Macaca mulatta: one gene and its partner. The protein of the gene in region 2 interacts with the protein of the main gene of each other region in a pairwise test. Links are inferred from orthologs where the notes say so. Each region holds a gene or a part of one and is shown on either strand. Other genes may lie near its edges.

What was found.
Region 1: the proteins of CDC25B (region 2) and CDK2 interact in a two-hybrid assay, tested with the Homo sapiens proteins (2 studies listed by BioGRID and IntAct). The link is inferred for Macaca mulatta from reciprocal best matches to the Homo sapiens genes CDC25B and CDK2.

Annotation. Positions count from the first base shown.
Region 1 is NC_133416.1:63,110,624-63,115,173, reverse strand, and holds the start of CDK2 (cyclin-dependent kinase 2), read right to left. Parts: upstream 2,928-4,550; coding exon 2,812-2,927; intron 2,070-2,811; coding exon 1,992-2,069; intron 1,882-1,991; coding exon 1,761-1,881; intron 1,159-1,760; coding exon 988-1,158; intron 455-987; coding exon 353-454; intron 1-352. Other genes in the region: melanocyte protein PMEL, read left to right, coding at 2,926-3,258, 3,869-3,995. UniProt on the Homo sapiens protein: Serine/threonine-protein kinase involved in the control of the cell cycle; essential for meiosis, but dispensable for mitosis. Phosphorylates CABLES1, CTNNB1, CDK2AP2, ERCC6, NBN, USP37, p53/TP53, NPM1, CDK7, RB1, BRCA2, MYC, NPAT, EZH2.
Region 2 is NC_133415.1:80,264,111-80,267,915, forward strand, and holds part of CDC25B (M-phase inducer phosphatase 2), read right to left. Parts: coding exon 3,757-3,805; intron 3,577-3,756; coding exon 3,481-3,576; intron 2,952-3,480; coding exon 2,889-2,951; intron 2,728-2,888; coding exon 2,629-2,727; intron 2,432-2,628; coding exon 2,298-2,431; intron 1,266-2,297; coding exon 1,154-1,265; intron 1,019-1,153; coding exon 878-1,018; 3' UTR 1-877. UniProt on the Homo sapiens protein: Tyrosine protein phosphatase which functions as a dosage-dependent inducer of mitotic progression. Directly dephosphorylates CDK1 and stimulates its kinase activity.

The DNA of each region.
Region 1 (4,550 bases), on a different chromosome or scaffold from region 2:
GGCACCACACAATAAGGTCTACAAGCCTTGAAATGAAGGCCTGAAATAAAAGAGGCACTAAATGGAATCATTCTCCCAAATATATGCAGACTCAGCTAAAATGGCTGCAGAAATGCTTTATGTCATTTCAGGGATAAGAGAAGTATACTAGGTACTAAGGCTGTTTGAGGATATCCTAACATTGTGGTTGATATTGGGGCAACAGTTGCATCCTTTCCCACCATTCCCCTTGGTGCTACTTTAGAGACAGACCCCTGTGATAGAAGGGCCATAGGTCTGGGCCAAGAAACAGTTCTGTTGTTCTTGAATGTGGGGAGGAGGGGGCTGGGTGAACTTGGGCAAGCCTCCATACCATCTCAGCAAAGATGCAGCCCAGGCTCCAGATGTCCACGGCTGTGGAGTAGTATTTGCAGCCCAGGAGGATTTCAGGAGCTCGGTACCACAGGGTCACCACCTGAGGGACAGGAATAGGGAGAGGTGGAGTGGTTTATAGGGTATGGAGATTCCCACATCTCAGTTCCCCAACACTACTCTGCTAACTCATGGCCTCTTAACAAGCAGTTTCCTTCCCTCCCTCTTTCCCCTCTCACTGATTTCCAGTCCATAGTTCCGGAGACCATATTTTCTGAACCCCCAATTTGAGATCTTCCTGGAAAAACTTGAGACAAATGGTCATAATTTGATTTCGAAATTTTTTCTTTTTGTAGATTTGTAGAGATGGGGTCTCGCTATGTTGCCCATGATGGTCTCGAACTCCTGGGCTCAAGTGATCCTCCCACTTCAGCCTCCCAAAGTACTGGTATTACAGGCGTGAGCCCAGTTAGCAACACAGTATGAATTCCATGCATGCCCTAAGACTCTTGAAGATGTCAAGAGATTATTTCTACCTAGTAAGAAACTGTTAGCCAGATATTTTTAGTAAATTTGTGAATACCCTAGTTAACACCTCTTGGGAAGCTCAGAGAAGAAAGGCATAAAGGGACTCACCTCATGGGTGTAAGTACGAACAGGGACTCCAAAAGCTCTGGCTAGTCCAAAGTCTGCTAGCTTGATAGCCCCCTCTGTGTTAATAAGCAGATTCTGAGGCTTAAGGTCTCGGTGGAGGACCCGATGAGAATGGCAGAAAGCTAGGCCCTGGAGCAGCTGGAACAGATAGCTCTGACAAAGAAGAAAGAGAGGACTGTGTTTCTCCATCACAGTGAGCAGACTGGGTTTGCTCTGTGACCCCAAAACTCTACTAAAGCCTTTACTATGTTGGATTATAGTTACATATTTACAAGCTATTTCTCCCAATGGACTGTCAGCCCAGAGAGGATAAGGACCAAGTCTTACTCAATTTTGCTTCCCTTTTCTACATGCTGTGCATTGAACAAATGTTTGTTAATAAAGTAGCTCTGGGAGTGAAGAATCCAGCCCTAAAATAGACAATAGAGACTTACTAGCTGGTTCTTCCACCAAACAGAAGGGCTTTTTGGAGGAATTTACCAAGTGCTCTCAAATCCCATTTATCTGAGTTTCATCTGACCTCCCACCTGAGTTGCTAGGTTGACTCACTAGAGTTTCAACTTTGATTGTTCAGTCCAACCCTAGGGTTAATGAATATAATGAGCAGGGAAGGAGACACAAAAAGAAGGGGAGTGTGTGTGTGTAGGAGATGAGGGCTCAGAAGGAGGCCAAGATCATAAAATATCACCCTGAATTGCCTGCCACCAGTACCCCAAGACATGCCCATGATGGGAGGAGCTGATGAGAAGCATTACCTTGATGAGGGGAAGAGGAATGCCAGTGAGAGCAGAGGCATCCATGAATTTCTTGAGATCTTGGTGCAGAAATTCAAAAACCAGGTAGAGTTTATTTTCTGTGTGAATGACATCCAGCAGCCTAGAGAAGTAAAGTTTGAGGAAATGGAGGTGCGAGAGAGAGAAAAGCCCACACTGTACAGACAACTCATCCTCCTTTCCAGCTGGATTGCCTCTCAGACACATACTCACTTGACAATATTAGGATGGTTAAGCTCCTTAAGCAGAGAGATCTCTCGGATGGCAGTACTGGGCACACCCTCAGTCTCACTTGGAGAGGTTGGGAAAGCAGAGACGGGAATATGGTTACAAATATTCCTTTTTCCCCCACCTAGTCATTTCTTTCCCCCAAGGAGACACCACCCAGCACCCCCTAGGAAAGTCAGAGAAAAGAAAGGGTGCTGGAAAGAGCTAATTCTTGGGTAGTCAGGGTGTGGCTTTTGCACATATTAAGGTCATTATCTTGTCTTTTCCCAGGGGTAGGTAAGTAAAGCCGTCTGGTGAAGGTAAAGCAGGGAGGCTGTAATGGGGAAAAAAAAAAAAAAAAAGCAGGAGTAGTCCCCAGTCTCTCCAGAGGGGCCAGTGAGGTTCAACTGCCATTCTTTGGAAAGAGGAGAGAATTCTAAGGTGAGGGTGGGGCAGTGAGGAGAGCTCTTCATTCAGAAAGGCGCTCCTCGCCGGTTCCCACATAACTCCACTCCATGGAGAGTCTTGGACCTCATCTCAGAGGCCTCCTTTCTCTCCCCGAGTCTCTGTGTTCGCACATTTGGGGGCACGATCCGGCTCAGTTTGGGAAGAAAGTTTTCCATGGATTCCACACCATCCTATACTCTCCCCAGGGAGTATAAGTATACACTCCACCTTCTACTGGCCCCCAACCCACCTCTCCACTTCTAAAGAAGTCCGTCCCTGTTGTCTTCCGGTCCCTGGACGGCTACCCGCCCGTGGGGGATTGGGGGGGGACAGTCAAGGAGGTCCCCAGTTAGGAGTCCCGGGTACAGAGGCCACTCACGTGTCCAGGCGGATTTTCTTAAGCGCCACCACTTCTCCCGTCAACTTGTTTCTGGCTTTGTACACAACTCCGTACGTGCCCTCTCCGATCTTTTCCACCTTTTGGAAGTTCTCCATGAAGCGCCAGCGAGTCGGGTCAGCCCGGCCCTGGAGTGGGGGCCTGGGAACCCTGCAGAAGGCGGACCCTGGCTCTCGGGGGCCGAGGAGGGGGAAACAGGGCCCAGTATCGTGCCCCCGGGTCGGGATGGAACGCAGTATACCTCTCGCTCTTGTCAATTTGGCCAACTTGAAACAATGTTGCCGCCTCCCCCCGAGTTCCCGACCGCCACCAGAAGCCCCGCCCCTGCTTCCCGCGTTTCCCTGGCTCCGCCCCCAGGCATTTCTATTGGTCAACGTCAGAGCCGGGGGGCGAGTGCAGCGCTCCTCCCCGCAAATGACCCCGCCCCAGGCAAGTTTGGTTCTTCGGGGGCTAGACAAATTTCTTTCTCGGTGGGGCGGCTGAACAGTCTTCCCAAGTACCTACTTTGGGTCCAAGTTTCCTACCTGTGTCTCTAGTCTGTAGGGATTTCTTGATTTCTAACTCACTATTTTCACCACTCCTGGGGAAAATATGTATCGACCTAAGGTTAAATTCCACCTGGCCCAGGAGCCTCCTTTGAAAAGCAGGAAACTAGGAATCTCGTTGTAAAGAATTCCTGGGCCTCAGAGGAGTCATTGCCTCTGCCTCATAGCCTACCCCGACGCTGTCTGTGTTTTGGGATGCAGGCTTCTGTTTCTGTTTTTTTGAGAAGTTCCTGGTTTAATTCACTCTCCCATGATGAACTGTTGTGTCTGGTATGTGTTATGCAGCTGCCTTTCAGTCAGCCCTTGCCCGGGAGTATATGAGAGTGACCCAGTGAAACCAGAAACTGCCATTGAGTAGCAGGATGGGAAAGCAATGTCTAGGGACCAGGATCCCTTTGTCAGTTTTTCCTTCTTCCTCTTCTCTGGCCCCTCCCAGGCCTTCTCTGAGGGAGAAGAGGAAGGGCTATGCAAATGAGCACCCTTTTCTTATATAGGGGCCTATCCCAGTCCCCCCAGTGCCTTTGGTTGCTGGAGGGAAGAACACAATGGATCTGGTGCTAAAAAGATGGCTTCTTCATTTGGCTGTGATAGGTGCTTTGCTGGCTGTGGGGGCTACAAAAGGTATGTGTGGATATGTGGACATAAGCAGGTGTGAACTTGGGGATGAATTCCCCCTGCTCTGGTTTCTCTCCTCCTAATGGGAGATAGCGGCAATATTTCAGGCGTCTCCCACTCATTTGATTTAGTGAGAATGTGGGCACCTGGGCTCCCTCCCTACATGGAGATTTGGGATTGAGCCTGAAAATAATCTCATATGCTTGGAGGGGCAGAAGAATAGAAGGTCTCTGTGGCACTGATTCTGAGGCTTCCTTGGCAGTGAGCTGGAGCAGGGGCTCCAAAGGGGTGAAATGTGCGGGAGACTCTTTTAAGAAATGTCTCTTGGGGTAGGAGATTTAAAGTGGGGAGTCAGAGAATGTAGTATTGGGTAAGAAGACTAAGGAGATACAATCCTCTCCCCTTGGGATGGGTACGGGTGAACACAGCCCAGACCTTTTGTTCTGGGGCTGGGAGAGATAGGCAGAGGGGTCTCAGCTGAGCATCACATGAAAGGGCTCTGGGGGATTGGGCCTCGTGACAGGAGCAAGGGGAGGGGGTGAGGTGGTGAGAGGGTCTGGA
Region 2 (3,805 bases):
CACAGCCATCTACGGCCATCCACCCATCCATCCAACCTTCCATCCATCCGCAACAAGACAGCAGCAAGTTCTGACCAGTCAGGCCCCAGGGTTCACAGCAGTAGGGGCTGGGCTTCCAGCAGGCTCACGATTCAGGCCTTAGCCCTTGCCCTGGGAGCCCCCAAGGATAATAACATCCCTTTCTGGGGCAACAAAACTGGGACTGAGTGGGTAACTGATATTTGACAGGGGAACCTAAACAGTCTACGGAAATGTCCTGAGATGGGTATAAAGTCAAACAGACCAAGCACACAGGTAACACTGAAATAGGAAAGAGTAAGAGCTTCTGTTCAGGCTGGAGGTGCTTGTATGGTGGGACAGGAAAGAGGAAAAGAGAAAGGGGCAACATGGCAGACATACCACGGTTCCTACAGAGGTTAGGGGCAGTCCTGGCCCGGGAAGTACACAGGGCAGAGAGCTGACTCCCAGGCCAGGAAGGAGGTTAGCTCTGACCCATCCTCAGGGACCATAGCTCTCCCCCAGCCTCCGCTGACACACACACAAAGGAGCTTTTCAGGACACAGGAAGATGAGGGGTTAACCCTAACAAGGAAACAAGAAGCTCCTTGAGGACACAAAATACTGCCTTTAGGCTGGTATTAACCCAACTTAACTAACTCAACAGACTGGGCTCTTCCAGGGGTGGGGGGCACCAGGATATGGAAAATGATGGGATGACACAAGGGAATCGGGGCTGGGGCAGACAGGCAGGACACCCACACCATCCTTCCCATGGACAGCACCTGAGGCCTCCAGCAGGCCCTCAGCCTGGCAGGCCCATAGGGCAGCTGGCTTCAGGCCTGGAAAGGCAAGGGAGGTAGCAGGACTGATGCAGGCCCTCACTGGTCCTGCAGCCGGCTACAGAGCTCCCGCCGGCTCCGCTCCCCAGCCCAGCTGCGAGTCTTGAGGCGGAAGGTCTTCAGCTCATCCTTGAAGGCCTCATGGTTCATGGGCCGGTAGTCCTGGGGTTCACAGAAGTTCTAGGGCAGGATAGGAGGGTTCAATGCAGTGGAATGGGTAAGTTTGACAGGGACCCAATCCTCCCACCCCCCTCCCATGGCTCCAGCCTGGCCAAGCCAACCCTCACAGATTGTGGCCTTCCCCACCCACGCTACCGGGTGCTGAGGGAAGAACTCCTTGTAGCCGCCTTTCAAGATATACATCTCGGGGTAGTAGAGGCTGGGGTAGTCGTTAACAGCACGGTCTCGTTCCCTGATGAAACGGCACCTGGGGCGTCATGGGCAAGGTGTGGTCAGAATGGGACATGCAGTGGCTTGTACATCATGGGACCTATTCCCCACGTCCCCTCCTTTGAGGGCCTTGGGGAGCCACAGAAGGCTTTGAGCACAGGAATGTAACCAAAAGAACACTTTTTAGATTAGTCTGGCTACAGAAGAGGGTGGGGAGGTAGAACGAAGAAGGTAAAATCAAGGGGATGAGCTCTCTGTTTCTAGAAAGCAGTTGCACCATCTTTGTTAGAGATATCTGTGCCTGGACCAGGAAAGGAGAAGCAGGAGAGGAGACAAGTGGGCCAAATTCAAGGGACCCATTCGGGCCACTCCTGGACAAGACCCAGTGAGGATCAGCGGTGGGAAGAAGGGAGGAGGAGGACCCAAGACTGAAGCCAGTGCCCAGGCCTGGTGCCCGGGTGGAGGTGGGTGCCACATGCTGGGATGCCTGGAGAAGATGGGAGGGCCACAGGGATGTGACTCTGTAAGGGGCATCTGGGTACAGATTCCCACCACATGGGTGAGGCCAGACTGGGGAGTCACTAGCAGTCTGATGGACCAGTGGCAACCCAGAAGGAGGCAGGGGTGGGAGGACAGATGGCCAGGCAGAACAGGAATAGGGACAGAAGGAGCTTAGCCAGGGAGGGCCCAGGTGCTGTGGATGCCAGTGGAGGAGGTTCCAATGGAGACCTAACAGCACTGAACATGGGGAGGGTCAGTGTCACTGGGGACTGACATGGGGCCCTTAGATTTCGAGAAAGACACTGCTAGAGACTTGGAACTAGATTTTCTGAGGGTGGCAGCAATGGATGGGGGGTGGACATGAGGTTTGATAGGCAGGACAGTGAGGGAGATGGGAGGTGGGTACCATGCGCAGTGAAGCGGGGCTGAGGTCAGCTCTAGGCCATCAGATGGGACAGAGTAGAACCCGGATTTGCACCCATGGCCATCGCAATGGTGCCAGCACCTGCGAGCCTGGGCAGGGAAGGCCGGGGCAGACACTAGCTGGCTGGGCGGAGCTGGGACTCACATGCGGGGCCCACGCTCAGATGAGAATTCACAGTGGAAAATGAGGATGACTCTCTTGTCCAGGCTACAGGGTGTGATGGGGCTCTGCAGCAGGAAGCTCTCGGCGTCGCGTTCCAGGGGCAAGTTCACCGCAGTCTGTCAGAGGAGCCAGAGGTCAGGCACAGCCCTGGGCCCAGGAGGCAGGCCCCTCCCCCTGCAGTCCCTGTCCTTCTCTTGGTAGGAACCCTCCCCACAAGAGGGGGCACCCGTCCTCCACCCATTCTTGCTCTTGGCAGAGCAAGGACCTAAACCAGGTGGGATCTTCAGGGCCTCTGCCCATTGCCCCACCTTACCTTGATGTGCCCGCCTTCATACTCATAGGGGTATCTGCAGTCCACAATCACAAACTTATCCACGATGTTGCTGAACTTGCCCATCAACAGAGCCACCATCTGTAGGAGGTCATGGGGGTTGGTTCCAGAAGGTCAGGCTGGCAGCCAGCAGGTGGCCCTAGCCTGTCCTCTGGCATAGCCCATACAGCCTGTCCCCAGGGAAGGTCAACAACGGAGCTACAGTCCCAAATATGCCTAGAAAATGGCGCAACGCTGTTTACCGTTTCTGGTGAGATGTACTTGAGGTCTTGGTGCTTTCCATCTACCGTCTGTAGGAGGAAGGCCTGAACGGAAGGGAAGAGATGCGGGAGAGAGGAAAAAGTTAAACTGGTAAGACCAGGAGCCTGGAAAGAATGAAGTTTCATTCCCAAACTCAGAGGCCACACCTGCTTTGGCCTTCAAATTCAGCTCTGGGTCCCATAGCAACTGAGAGGGCCTCTTGGGTCTGACACCCAGGGAACAACCTTCCAAGGGGAAAGGGAAATGAAAAAGGGAAGTGGAAGAGATGAACTCCACACTCTGCTCCCTACCCTCTGCCAAGCCCGAACGTGAGGCATGACGGGGTTCCAAGCTAGGTATGAGCTTGGAAATAAGATGGAGACACAACAGATGCCTGGACTGACTTGAGGTGGAGTCAGGAGACAAGGAGGGCCAGAGGGAGGAGTCTATATGAGAACAAAGGATGAAAAGATACAAAGGACAAAGAAAAGGGGAGCTCTGGGGAAAGGGAGAAACCCAAGCAGCTCCTAGGCTAGAGGACCCTTAGTCAGTAAGAGGTCAAGCCCCCAAAGGGCCCTTTGCTGCTGCAGGTACCTTAGAGTAATCTCCAATCAGCTGTCGGTGGTCACTGTCCAGGAGGTTCTCAATCTCATCGTGACACAGTGATTTTGAGCGGAGGACGCGGACTTTCTAGAAAGTGAGTCAGGTGGAGGCCAGGGTCAGGGTGGGGCTGCCCCTCAATGCCCTGTCTAGCTGGTACCCCCTTTCTCTGCTATGCCCAGGCTGCCACCTGCCCTCTGCCACAAACTTAGCCAAGGGGGTGGCTGCCCAGGTTCATGCAAAAGTGGGCTCCAGGAGGAAGGCACTCACAGGTTCCTCAGGCTCCTGCTGCTCCTCAGGAGGGGTCACGCTCCGCCTC